3 linked regions of the Sus scrofa genome follow. The protein of the gene in region 3 interacts with the protein of the main gene of each other region in a biochemical or structural test. Links are inferred from orthologs where the notes say so. Each region holds a gene or a part of one and is shown on either strand. Other genes may lie near its edges.

Evidence for each region.
Region 1: of the proteins of CACYBP (region 3) and MAPK1, one has a biochemical effect on the other in vitro, tested with the Homo sapiens proteins (2 studies listed by BioGRID). The link is inferred for Sus scrofa from reciprocal best matches to the Homo sapiens genes CACYBP and MAPK1.
Region 2: the proteins of CACYBP (region 3) and S100A6 are reported together in a solved structure, tested with the Homo sapiens proteins (2 studies listed by BioGRID and IntAct, with this or other methods). The link is inferred for Sus scrofa from reciprocal best matches to the Homo sapiens genes CACYBP and S100A6.

Annotation. Positions count from the first base shown.
Region 1 is NC_010456.5:50,081,494-50,086,406, reverse strand, and holds the start of MAPK1 (mitogen-activated protein kinase 1), read right to left. Parts: upstream 3,329-4,913; 5' UTR 3,305-3,328; coding exon 2,562-3,304; intron 1-2,561. UniProt on the Homo sapiens protein: Serine/threonine kinase which acts as an essential component of the MAP kinase signal transduction pathway. MAPK1/ERK2 and MAPK3/ERK1 are the 2 MAPKs which play an important role in the MAPK/ERK cascade.
Region 2 is NC_010446.5:96,096,540-96,100,714, reverse strand, and holds S100A6 (protein S100-A6), read right to left. Parts: upstream 2,445-4,175; 5' UTR 2,409-2,444; intron 2,048-2,408; 5' UTR 1,946-2,047; exon of another isoform or gene 1,924-1,945; intron 1,767-1,923; 5' UTR 1,746-1,766; coding exon 1,608-1,745; intron 1,256-1,607; coding exon 1,121-1,255; 3' UTR 1,029-1,120; downstream 1-1,028. Other genes in the region: S100A5 (protein S100-A5), read right to left, coding at 3,952-4,095. UniProt on the Homo sapiens protein: May function as calcium sensor and modulator, contributing to cellular calcium signaling.
Region 3 is NC_010451.4:117,066,744-117,071,200, forward strand, and holds part of CACYBP (calcyclin-binding protein), read left to right. Parts: intron 1-1,974; coding exon 1,975-2,194; intron 2,195-4,457. UniProt on the Homo sapiens protein: May be involved in calcium-dependent ubiquitination and subsequent proteasomal degradation of target proteins. Probably serves as a molecular bridge in ubiquitin E3 complexes. Participates in the ubiquitin-mediated degradation of beta-catenin (CTNNB1).

The sequences.
Region 1 (4,913 bases), on a different chromosome or scaffold from region 3:
GCTCCACTCTTCATCTTTATATTCTCCACATGATGATTAGGAAAGGACTCTGCACAGAAAAAGCAAATTCCTAATGAACTGATTCAGGGAGTGAAAAAAAATTTTTTTCTCCCAAAACACTTAAATCCTCTGGAAGCATTAAATTTTTGAAAACATCCCTATTCAAATATTACTATTTCAATCAAGAAATCCTCCATAAACCCAACAATGTAAACCAACATTTATTAAATGCTAATAATGTGTGACATGGATTTAATTCTTATATTAAATATCATTAATCTGAAGATAAAAAGCTATAATCTGTACCCAGGATTCTAATTCCAATAATATTTACACTTGGATCCTACTTAAGAAAGGAACGTCACATTAAGAGGGCTTGGTATTTTACCCGACAGAGATTTAGAAGGTCAAATAAGTCTACAGAAGCTACAGAAAGTTAGCAGATCTAAATGAGCTTCAGACTAGTAAACATTCTTATCAAATTAAAAAGAAAAAAAAACCTCTAAACTGGATTGTCATAAAACTAGTTTTTTGGTTTTTGTTTTTTTTTTTGTCTTTTTGCCATTTCTTGGGCTGCTTCCGCAGCATATGGAGGTTCCCAGGCTAGGGGTCCAATCAGAGCTGTAGCCCCTGGCCTATGCCAGAGCCACAGCAATGCAGATTCCGAGCCACGTCTGCAACCTGCACTACAGCTCACAGCAATGCCGGATCCTTAACCCACTGAGCAAGGCCAGGGATCGAACCCACAACTTCATGGTTCCTAGTCAGATTTGTTAACCACTGAGCCACGATGGGAACTCCAAAACTAGTTCTTTTCAGAGTCTATCTTAGGTTCTAATTTATCTTCTTTGGAAGGGCTGAAGGACATGACAGGCAATTCTGAACACTTCATAGAGACCTTTACTGGCACACTTACCAGCAGATACAACAGCAATCAGATGTAGGACACAAGTGATGCTGTGGGGCATTACTTTCTCTCCATTGCATTCTAGGACTGCATTTCTTTTAGGCCTCAACTAATTTAATTTCGCTTTTGGCTCCTTAGCCTCTGAATTCACGTTAATTCTCAGCTGTATACTTTGAAGCATTTTGATCTTGAAAAGAATGAAAATATTCAAGATTCAATGAAAGTCTTTTTCTTTTTTTTTAAAGTTTATGTAGTCTTTGAACCTAGCTAATGTAACTGGTAAATCATGCCCTCTATGGCCTTTCTGAAATCAAGATCATTTAAAGTTGAATATATTTCTGAAATAGATTTGCTTATGAGTAAGACAGACTAGAATTCTAAAATTATTAATAACATTATTTAAGAAAAATAGGATGTAATGAAAAGAGCTGCAGCAACTGAAGTTAAATTCTCAGTCTACAATCTCAAGTCTGACTCTTTAGTTGAATGACCTTAGGAATTGGCTTTACCAGAAATACTTTCTCATCTGAAAGATCTCACAGCCCTTCCCTCCCACCAGCTGACTATTCAAATAAAATGAGATAATATATCTAGCACAGTACCTGCCACGCAGCATTCAGTATTAGTTTTTTTCCTTCGTTCAACACAAAAGACACTCACAAGATTTAGGTATAAGGGAGTCCACACCTGCACAAGTCTTCATCAGCACAAGACAGCTAGTTAGTACTAATTTAAAAAAAAAAAAAAAACGAAAAAAAAACACCGTCACCTCCACTCCACAAACGTTTCTGAGGGATCTGCATCAAGACGAGGGAACCAGCATGTGACACTGCAAGAACTCCACCAGGACTGCATACATATTGACCACTAAAGCATTGACAGTAAAAGTCCACAATAATTGTGCTAAAACGTCTGGATGCCTTTATGCTGGTAATAGAGTTCAAGCGAGATAAAGGAAAAAGAAGCCAATTTAGGCCCAACTCCAAATGACTCCTTAATAAATCAAGAGAGGGATGCTGGTTTATCTTTCCTAAAACGCGGACAGTACGATATTAAAACCCATTTAAAAACTTCATCAAGAATGAAATATGCCAAAACAAACATTGACGCCACTAATGCTTTTTCAAAAGCCTGCGCAGGAGAGCACCGCTGGCACCACCGAAGGTATCTGATGAAAGCCGTGCGTGGAAAACGCAGGCGAGGGAAGGAAAATAACAGACGGTCATTTCGGGGCGGGGCACACACGCCGCGGCCGCCGCCGCCAGCATCTGAAGGAATTCGCGGCTTCCCACCCCGGCGCGAAGAGCAGGCCGCGCGGCGCACACCCAGGCCGGGGAGGGGGGCGGGGGGGGCGGAGGGGGCCTAGGTTCCCGGGCCGGGGTCCTGGATCCAGTGTCCACCCCCCGCCCCCTCCCCGCGCCGAGCAACGCCCCAGCCCGACCAGCCCCGCCCCGACCGAGGCCCCGCTGCGGTTGGCGGCGCAGCGGGCCTGGGTCGGAGGTCGGAGGTCCGGGTTGGGGTAGGGGCTGGGTCCGCGTCCGGGGTCGGGGTCAGGGTCGGGGTCCGGAGAGCAAGCGGGGCAGCAGCGGTGAGCCCGGCTGGGGGGGAGGGGAGGGCGGCGGGCGCGGCCAGGCCGCGGGGCATGGACACTCACCACACCATGCCGTAGGCGCCCTCGCCGATGTAGGAGAGGTTGGTGTAGCGCGGCCCCACGTCGAACACCTGCCCGCGGACCATCTCGGGGCCCGCGCCCGCCGCCGCCGCCGCCATGTTGGCTGCCGGGCCGCCGCCGCCGCCGCCGCACTGGGCTCGATGCTCCGCGGCCGCTGCTCGGCCCACGCTGCACCAACGGGGAGACCGCGCCCCAGCCGCTGCAGCCGCCGCCGCTGGCCGGGAAGAATCAGTGAGGGACCCGCTCGGGAGAGGTAGATAGCCACCGACCGCTCGTACCGACTGCCCGCCTGACTGACTGACGGGCGGGCCGGCGGGCGGAGGGAGGGGCGCGCGCCGAGGAGGGCGCCGGGGCAGGGCCGTAGGCGTGAGCGCGGATTGGCTCCCGCGGCCTGGGGGCAGGGCTGCGCGGCCGGCGGAAGAGGCGCGTTGGGGGCGGAGCACTGCAGCGGCGGGGCGGGGCGCGGTCACGTGCGCTCGCGGGAGGCGGCGGGGAAACGCTGAGGACTCCGAGGCGGGGCGAGCTTGCGGGGCCGAACGGGCGGGGCAGCGGGCCGAGAGAAGCTCCGGGCGGCTCCCTCCGAGTAGGAGCGCGACCGGGGCGGATTCCCCCCGCCCCCGCGCGCCGAGCCAGGTTTGTGAGAGTCCGGGGCCCATACAGATTAGAGGCCTCGAGACCCGCACAGAAGCCGGAAGGGTGACCGAGACCGAGAGAGATATTTGCATCCTGAGAAAGTGTGAAACCCAGAGTGGGAGGCGGAGACAAGAAGCCCGGACGCGGCCCGCTCCGGCAGAGGCTCGTTCAACAAGTGTCACCGCGTTCCTGCGCGTCCACCCTCCTCGAAGCTACCCTCCAGGAGATGATGGATGGACGGTCGATGGATCTGAAGGAAGACTCAAGTTGTCTGCGAAGTACTGCGAAGAAAAGGAGAGCAGAGTAAGGGGTTCGGGAGTAGTGGGTTGAGACCCTGAGAAAAACACTGAGATTCAGAGACTGGCACCCAAGTTGGTACAGATGGGCAGGATCTTACCCAGGTAGAAACGCGAAAAAAACAAGTATTAACATCTAGAGAAAACGAGTTAGACGCACTGAGGTTCAGAGATTGTCACAAAAATGGAAAAGAATGTATATATGTATAACTGAATCACTTTGCTGTATAGCAGAAATGAACACAACATAAATCAACTGTAACTTTAATAGTCACAAACACCAGAGGTTGAAAATAAAAGGCAGAATCTTGAAGCAGGTGAATTCGATAAACAGCTAAGACAATGAGACAGAAGATGATCCAGCCCTTGCTTCTGAGCCACTTCATTGGAGTCACCTGCGTCGTCTTGGAAAGGGGACTAAGGGTGGGAAATTCTGCGTCCTGATTGTCTGACACTGTGATCCAGAAAGCCTGGACTTCCAGTCATCAACAAAGATCAACTAGACAGTCTTGAAGATGAATAAGCAAAAGAGAAAAAAATCCTCTGGGGAAAAAAAAAAACATGTGGCATATGAGAAAATAAATAAAGGGCTACAGCCAAAAAGTACTCTTTTGAAATATGTTTAGTCCATAAAGTAGAACCCAACACCTGATTCTTATTCCTTTTTTTTTTTTTTTTTTTTTTTTGTCTTTTTGCCTTTTCTAGGGCCACTTCCCACGGCATGTGGAGGTTCCCAGGCTAGGGGTCTAATCAGAGCTGTAGCCACCGGCCTATGCCAAAGCCACAGCAATGCAGGATCCTTAACCCACTGAGCAAGGCCAGGGATCAAACCCTCAACCTCAGGGTTCCTAGTCAGATTTGTTAACCACTGAGCCATGACAGGAACTCCCTGATTCTTGATTAAAAGAAGAACTTGCATCTTTTAAAGGACAGGCCAAGATAAATAGAGGGTACCATGAAATTAAAACCACAATAGCCAAAGTAAAAGCAATGGTTGGAGCTGTAATAAGCAGACTTAACAGTGTAGAAGAGCAAGTCAGCAGGATAGGAGACGACTATGAGAAAAAGCTGGTGATGAAATTCTTTAAGAAGAAAATGTACAAGAGAACAAACACCACAAAGTCAAACTACAGGCACCCCCTCCCCAAAGAAGACAGAGCAAATCACTTAGAGGCAATAACTTACAGTAAAAGAAAACCTGCCTTAATGTCTAAAAAGATCTGTGGTGTTGGAGTTCCCTGGTAGCCTAGCAGTTAAGGACCTGGCATTGTCACTGCTGCAGCTCAGGTCACTGCTGCAGCAAAGGTTTAATCTCTGGCCTGGGAGCTTTTGTATGCTGCGGGTGCAACCAAAAGGATCTAGGATGGACATGGAAAATTGAGTTCTCTGAATCCAGAAAAAATAA
Region 2 (4,175 bases), on a different chromosome or scaffold from region 3:
GGAGAGGTGAAAAAGAGGGACAGGAAGAAACGGTCTCTGTCTGAGGCCCCCAGAACCTACAGAGGAAATTGCCTGGCACAGACTAGGTCTGCATGGGAGAGCATTGCCACAACTGCCCCATCGCCCTGAAACCCTCTTGCCCCGATCCCCCTCCCTCCCCACCATCCCCTCCTCCCCCGCCACCCCCTTCTTCCCCCCACCGCCTGAAAACACTAATGCAAACAATGAACTCAGATAATTTCAATTCATCATCTACCAGTGGCTCCATGGAATAACTGGGGTGATCCATTCTGCTAAGGCGCTAGGAATGGGCTGGCTCAATATTGACAGAAAGGCTGGGCTGTGGCTGCCCAGTCCCGGGGACCCCCATCCCACCCCTTTCATGAGCATCTCATGATTCATGTATCCACACAGCTGCCAGCTTCTCAGACCACAACTCTGAGAACAAAGGGCCCTAAGGTGTGCCTCCCACCTTCAACCGGGGCAGGGGCAGCAGAATTGACCTTGACCGTACAGCATCCACAGCAGTCCCCAGCCAGGCTGTGAGCATGCCAGATGTGCCTTCTCTGCCCCCACTTCCCTGTAGTGAGAGAGTGGACCAGCCCCGCCCCACAGCCCTGCTGGACCTTCCCCTTTGACCACACCCAGAGCAAAAACTTGTCTTTGTCGTCTGCAAGGACCCAGCTAGGACTATCTCTGTTCCACTCTGGACTCATCACAGCCTGGCTTAAGCACCATTTCCTTCTCCAAGCCCACCCCAGAACGCCCTGTGCTGGGGACCGCTTGAGCCTTTCCTTAAGATGGCTTTGCCCAGAGCTTACATCTTTTCTGATTCACATAAAAGCAGTTTAGGAGCTGTAACTGCCTTGTTAGGGCGCATCCATCATCTTGTGGACCCTCCCACCAGCTCCCCTGACCTGGTGAGTCACTGAGTCACTCCCAGAGGGGACTGCGAGAAAACCCTCTGATGGCTGATGCAGCGGCAAGCAGAGGAGGAAACAAATCACAGGGAAGCCAGGACACAGGGGTAGATTTAACAACAAAAAAAATTTATTGTACAGTTACCCACCACTAGATCAACAGGCCAGCTAAAGGGTGTCTCCACCGTCTCAATTTATGTTCAGCCCCGGAGGACATCGTTGTAGATCATAGCCAAGGCCCCCAGGAAGGTGACATATTCTTGGAAGTTCACCACCTGGTCCTTGTTCCGGTCCAGGTCATCCATCAGCTTTGCGATTTCAGCATCCTGCAGCTTCTACCGGGTCAAAATGGGAAATCCAGGACTCAGGGGTGATGAGACCTTGGGTTCTCTGCCTTTCCCCCTCCCAGGCAGCCCTCTCTCAGACAAGTGGCTCTGTGCTCACTTGTCACCAAAACTCTGAGCCCACCTTGAATTCACTTGGCTTGACTTCTCTGCTGCTGACTCAGGAGGAGTGAATACCAGGCTGGGAATATCCCCAGCCCCTCAGGGCCCAGGGGTGTGGACCAATGGTCCGGTAAGGTCTAGGTCCCCGGAATGTGAGTAAGTGTGAGTCACAGGCACCTGGCGCCTGGCCTTCTCCCAATCCTGCTTCTAAGGGGGGGGGGGGCAGGGGAGACTCACTCACCGCCCCAATGGTGAGTTCCTTCTGGATCAGCTCCTTCAGCTCACTCTTGCTCAGGGTGTTTTTGTCACCCTCCCGGCCGGAGTACTTGTGGAAGATGGCCACCAGGAGGCCAATAGCCTGATCCAGAGGGCATGCCATGGCTGAAGGCTGAGTTCAAGGCTGGGGGCAGAGGGGCTGGTCAGTGTCCTGGGCCACACGGAGGTCTCACTCCTCTCACTCACCGCAAGCCCCAAGACCTCTGCCCCCCACCCACCCACCCCCATCCCCACCACCACCCACCCCCGACCCCAACTCCCTTTGACGACCCTGCCCGGACCACCAAGTAAGTGTCAGGTGACCTCAGGAGACAGCTCGAGGCTTGAAGGGGAGGAAGAGGGCAGACTCTAGAGCCTAGAGATCTGTGGCCTCCAGGGAACCAGAGACGAGGTGGCTCAAGGATTCTAAGCAGCAGACAGGAACACAGCTGAGAACGCTCCTCCAGGGGTTGCGGGAAAGTTGGGGCGGATGTTGCGGGGCGGGGGTGGAGACGGCGCACCCAGCCCTACACACAGCCTTCCAGGGCCACACACGGCGGCGCTGACACGCCCGCCCGGGACACACCCTCCCGCACCCCAGATGGGCCACTACCCGGAGCCGCCCAACGGACGCCTTAGCCCTGGGCCAGCCTGGCTTCTCCTGCCTCTCCCCGCCCGCCCGGCAGCCCCGCAGCCCCAGGCTGGATGCCGAGCCATCCACCGCCCGCGGACCAAGCCCGGGGCGGGCTGGCTCAGAAGGACCGGGGCTGCCCTGGCCAGGACTCACCACGGCGGCAGCGACGGGAGCAGGGAGCGGCCGAGGGGATGCTGGGCTCTGGGGCCGGCCCGCCCGCCTTATAGAGGCGCGTCCGGGAGGCCGGCTCCCCACCGCCCACGGCCCGCCCCGCGCCCCACCCTGTGCTCGCCGTTACACAACACCAGGGCCCCAAAACTTTCCACGCCTCCTGCCCCGGGGCAGTTCAGGGCTCCGCGGGGTGGGGGGGACCTCGAGGGGGAGGGGGTCCCACCTGCAGCCAGCCGAGTGACCTCGAGCTCCTTCCTAACCCCTGAAACCCAGTTTGCAGCCACCCACCCCCCAGCATCGTGATGTGACAGGCCAGGGCAGGACGCTGTCACTGACGCTGGGGGGGCTGCCGGAAGTGGGTGGAGAAGGGAGAGAAGGGTGCCCCCTTCCCAGGGCGAAACCTAGATGAAGGGTGGGGAGCGGCCGGTGGTCTACAGAATACAGTTTCAAGGACTTCTCCAACACCCATCCGCCAGCGGAAAACGAATTCCTACCACCATCCTGCTCCCTTCCCCAACCCCCTCCCCCACCCCGAATTCCAGAATTGCACACCGGAGCCTCCTGCAGCTTCAGGGGCACACATGCCAGAGCCAAGCCCTGTGTCCCTAGTTATTTACCCTGCAATGCAAAGTTTCTCAGATCCTCAGTGTTTTTTGGTTTTGGGTTTTGTTTTGTTTTGTTTGCTTTTTAGGGCCTCGGGTAGCTGCTGGCCTCTGCCACAGGCACAGCAACGCCAGATCCGAGCAGGGTCTCGACCCACACTACAGCTCATGGCAACACCAGATCCTTGACCCACTGGGGTGAGGCCAGGGAATCGAACCTGCAACCTCATGGTTCCTAGTTAGATTCAATTCCGCTGCAGCACAAGGGGGAACTCCTCTCAGATCCTCTCTGGAGAAAGGCTTTTGATATGGGGAGGTGGGAAAGGCAGAAAGCCTAGAGGTGATTGAGGTGGCATGCGGGGTAGCAGGGCTTGTTGCAGAGAGGGAAACGGAGGAGAGGGAAAGGGGACTGGCCTGGAGGTCAAGGCCACACTCCCCTTTCTTACCAGCGTCCTCAGGGTGGCCTCCTGTGAGCTGGTGACAAGTCAGACTGGCCTGTCCACCACTGCCCCCAGGAACCACATCCCGGCTGCCTCCAGTGTCCTCACCCTCTAAGCACTTTCTCCTTAACTTTCTCTGCATAGCCGAAGCACACCTCGGAAGCCATCAAAAGCCTGGCCCAACTTCCCCATTTTCCAGGAGGGCCATGCTAAGCCCAGACACACTTAGTCACATCCACACCAAAGGACAGGAAGTGGAGAGGGAGCCCAGAACCCTAGCCCCCAGAAGCTCTCCACTCACTGAAGGGGAATCGCTGCCCTGCCCACCGCACCCCCAGCCAAGATGGACAAGACATCTTCCAAACCAGCCACGGACCCCTGGAAAGGAAAATCTTTATTTCCTCTGCGGGAATGGAAGGCTAAAGCAGCATCCTTCTGGAAGGGTGTGTGATAGGAGCTGCAGAGGCCAGGGCCTGGGCCCCGTCACTGGTTGTCCTCCAGGAAGAAGTCGTTGTAGGCCATGCAGAGCGTGGTCAGGAACACCGAGTACTCCTTGAAGTCGATCTCCTGGTCGCTGTTCTTATCCAAACTCTTCATCAGGTCGTCCACACTGCTCTCCTTCATCTTCTTCCAGGGCCCAGGTAGAGACACAGGTCAGCCCTGCCCCCTCCCAGCCTCAGGCTGAGCCCCAGCGGAGTCAGCTTCTG
Region 3 (4,457 bases):
TTTATACATTTTCTTTTTTAAAAAAAACCTAAATCCCTACTCTGGAAACAAAACATACTCATTTTACATTTTAAATGTTTTAATCATATTATTAGAATCAGCGTGACTTTTTGAAGAAATTATAACAAAAAGATTGCTTTGGGAGTTCCTTTTGTGGCTCAGTGTGCTACGAACCTGACTAGTATCCATGAAAATGCGGGTTCGATCCCTGGGTTTGCTCCCTGGGTTAAGGATCTGATGTTGCCATGAGTTGTGTTTACGTCTCAGATGAGGCTCGGATCGTGGGTTGCTGTGGCTGTGGCCGGCAGCTGCAGCTCCAATTTGACCCCGAGCTTGGGAACTTCCATATGCTGCAGGTGTGGCCCTAAAAAGCCAAAAAAAAAAAAAAAAAAAGATTGCTTTGAACTAGCAGCATCGTGGTTGTATGCTCGAAAGATGAGTTGCAGTTTTTTGCCTTAGTAATAAATGAATTTTGAGAGCCGGAGATAGAATGTGGACCAGAGACTGGGCACACAGACTTTTTAAACCATGTTTTTAGCAGTTACATACAGGCAAAACAGAGTATTGGAGTTAAATGAGATAAAAAGACTTGTGATAAAAGAGTTCATTTTTCTGTTTTTGCATTTTTTCTTTTTTCCTTTTTTTTTTTTTTTTTTGTCTTTTGTCCTTTTAGGGCCACACCTGTGGCATATGGAGGTTCCCAGGCTAGGGGTCCCATCGGAGCTGTAGCCACCTGCCTACACCTGAGTCACAGCAACGTCGGAGCTGAGCCGTGTCTGCAACCTACACCTCAGCTCACCACAACACCAGATCCTTAACCCACTCAACGAGGCAGAGATCGAACCCACAACCTCATGGTTCCTAGTCGGATTCATTTCTGCTGCGCCATGACGGGGAACTCCCCTGTTTTGCATTTTCTAATACTATTAAGAAACATAAAGACTTTAAAACTGTACTTCACATATTATACTGAGTTATCAAGCATTTAAATATTTTTATTTTGAGCATTATATGATCTCAGGCTATAATATCAAAGTCTTCTGTTCAAATTGCTAGTATCAAGACAGATTGTAAAGTCATTTTAAGAAAAAATGAATCCCCTGTTTAGAAAGATCTTACAAATTTGCATTATGTCAGAGGATAACCGAGGAAAAGTTTTTAAGCTCATTAATTTTCTAACAGTGTCTTTGACTCTTAACCTCACAAAATCTTGGCTCTGCCCCTGAAAAGAAATAGCAGTAGCCTTGGATAGGCAATGTCTTGGTGTAACAAATAAGAAGCAGGTGGCATTTCCAGTGATCCAGGATTGTGTTTTATGTTGGATTATTTGCCCAGGTTTTTACCCTTTACTGTGCAACCAAACCAGGTCCCAGACTTCTGATGGTAAAAGAAACCTGGAGCTTCAGAATCAAACTTATTAGAAGAAATATCTTTTTTTTATCTTTTGCCTTAAAAATGTAAACTTTTTATATGTATTATTTGGGATAGGAAGATCAGTGAGGACCAGTTAGTGATGGAAAGTAGAGGATAACCTGTCAAGTTGCTGTAGCATTTCACCACACTCATCATGTATTCACTTATATCTTTTAATATTTAGAAAATTCCTAATATCTGATGACGGACTGGAAGTTACAAGGAAATGCAAGAATTCCTTTTTGTTGAATTTCATCTTAACAAATCAGAAAATGTTTATAAATCACAAAAGTAAAAAAAAGAGTTAACAGTCTACCAAACTAGAAAGTTTTGGCTCGATTACCTATTGTTACTTGAAGATTAGGTTTTCCTATTTTAAAAAAAGGGAGCTTGAGTTATTTACAATTCAATAGGCTGAACGAAAAAATCCTTGTTGCTACTCAACCCTAGAAAATTTAAATGAACCTCTTATTATTAGCTCCTATTTCAGTAAATTGAAATGACCAATGTGCACAACATCATGTTGTTATTTATCATAGCTAATGTGTTTTTTTAACACAGCTACAGAAAGATCTAGAAGAGGTGAAGGTGCTTCTGGAAAAGGCTACTAGAAAAAGAGTACGTGATACCCTGACCACTGAAAAGTCCAAGATTGAGACAGAAATCAAGAACAAGATGCAGCAGAAATCACAGAGGAAAGCAGAACTTCTGGAAAATGAAAAGCCGGCGGCTGTGGTTGCTCCTATTACAACAGGATATACAGTAAAAATCAGTAATTATGGTATGACTTGCGCCCCCCCCCATCTAGTTCTTTCTGCCTCTGAGCAGCCTGTTCCTCAGTAGTGACCCACTAACAAAATCAGATTTTTTATTATCTTTGTCTTTCTTTTTTCTTTTTTTTTTTTTTTTTTTTCTTTTTTTAAGGGCTGCACATGCACATATGGAGGTTCCTAGGCTAGGGGTCAGATCAGAGCTATAGCCACTGGCCTATGCCACAGCAACTCCAGATCCAAGCTACACCACAGCTCACAGCAATGCCAGATTCTTAACCCACTGACTAAGGCCAGGGATCAAACCTGCGTCCTCATGGACGATAGTCAGATTTGTTTTCCACTGAGCCACCACGGGAACTCCCCAAATCAATTTTTAAAACAGTGTATAAAGTATTTGGTTTTGGTGATTTATAAGAGAACACCTGTCAATTCTTACTTAATAGATGCTTTTTAAGAGATTAGAAGAAGGGATGAATTTCTGGAAGCTAATTAACAAGAGGGCAAGATGATTAGTACAGTGATGAGTAGCAACAGAAGGAACCTATTCTGAAATACATTAATTATACATGGAACACAGCTTTTGTTTTGGTTTTCTTCCTTTTTTGGTTTTCACTTGGCCAACTATCCACCCATATTAACTGAAGAAGGGAAACCAGTTAAATTCAAGAAACATTTTTGAGCATCTAATATGGGCCTTTATTGTACTTGGACTTGTGAGTACACAGCAGTGACCAAGACCCAATCCTGCTCATGGTGTGGTTGGAACACATACAGCTAATACCATAACAATGTCATAATACCATTTTCCCTCAACTGATTATAGACATTTTATTTTGGAAATAGTGTAACTTGGAATCTGAGTAATGGGCTCTCATAAGGAGAGGGACAGTCTTTATGCTCACAGTATGTAGCACATAGTAAGTACTTAATATTTGCTTAACTGAATAGATTTATAAAGTACTATGGGAATATAGCTGTTAAAATAATTCCCCTGGGGGGGAGGAAAAGTCAGGAAGAATTGGAAGAAACATTTGAGTTTAAAGAGTGAGTTCTGGAGGTTCCATTGTGGCTCAGTGGGTTACAAACCTAATATCCGTGAAGATGCGGGTTCAGTCCCTGGCGTCTCTTGGTGGGTTAGCTGCAGCTCTGATTCGACTCCTAGCCCAGGAACTTCCATATGCTGCAGATGTGGCCCAAAAAAGCAAAAAATAGGAAAAAAAAAAAAAATGAGTTCAGCAAATGTAAAAAAGGAAGGCAAAGGACATGAAAGGCATCATGTGTTTTGAGTATCGTCATAGCAAAAAGCAATGTGTGTTTCATGTTTCAGTGATGCACTGCAGTACTGTAGGAGATATGCTGTGCATGTCGTTAACTGTAGGAAACTAAGGTGGTAGGATTATGGAGTATTAACTAGGAACCTAGATTTGTGTTTAGGGAGAAATTTGGCAATGTGGAGGATGGATTGAATGAATGGGGAGAAACAAAATGAAGTTCTATAGAACCATTTAGGAGATCTTTTTTCATTAACACTGAATTTTTGTTCTATAGAATTAGGTGAGGAAAAGTCATATAGTACACAGTAAATACATGTATATTTTTATCATTTGCTTCTTGTGTGATGTTTGCATGTTTTCTTTGAAAGAATTCATCTAGGTTGGAGACTGAATAATTTGATAATATATACTGAAATAGCCTTTTCTGGATATGTGTAGGTTAGTCAAATTGGCAGACTTGGATGAATTGGACTCCTTTTTTTCTTCCCCCTTTCTTTTTAGGGCGGCACCACAGCATATGGAGGTTCCCAGGCTAGGTGTCCAATCAGAGCTGTAGCTGCCAACCTACACCATGGCCATAGTAATGCAGGATCCGAGCCGCATCTGCGATCTACACCACAGCTCACGGTAACACTGGATCCATAACCCATTGAGTGAGGCCAGGGATTGAACCTGCGTCCTCATGGATGCTAGTCAGACTCGCTAACCACTGAGCCACAAGGGGAACTTCCCCTGGACTCTAAAAATTTATATTCATTCTACTTTGTCAGGGAAAGGAATTGAGGAAGCTAGGATTGCATTTTTTTGATTTGCTTAGAGAAGTAAAAATGCTTATGGAATTAGACAGTATTGATATTTAGCCAGTCAGCTTGTGGAGAATTAATAATATCTGGGAATAGGACAAAATTATTTCCATAAAAAGGGGAAATGAGCTATTCTTAAGGAATATATTTAACAATCATATTCCTCATTCTAAGGAATAAAAAGAAAGAACATG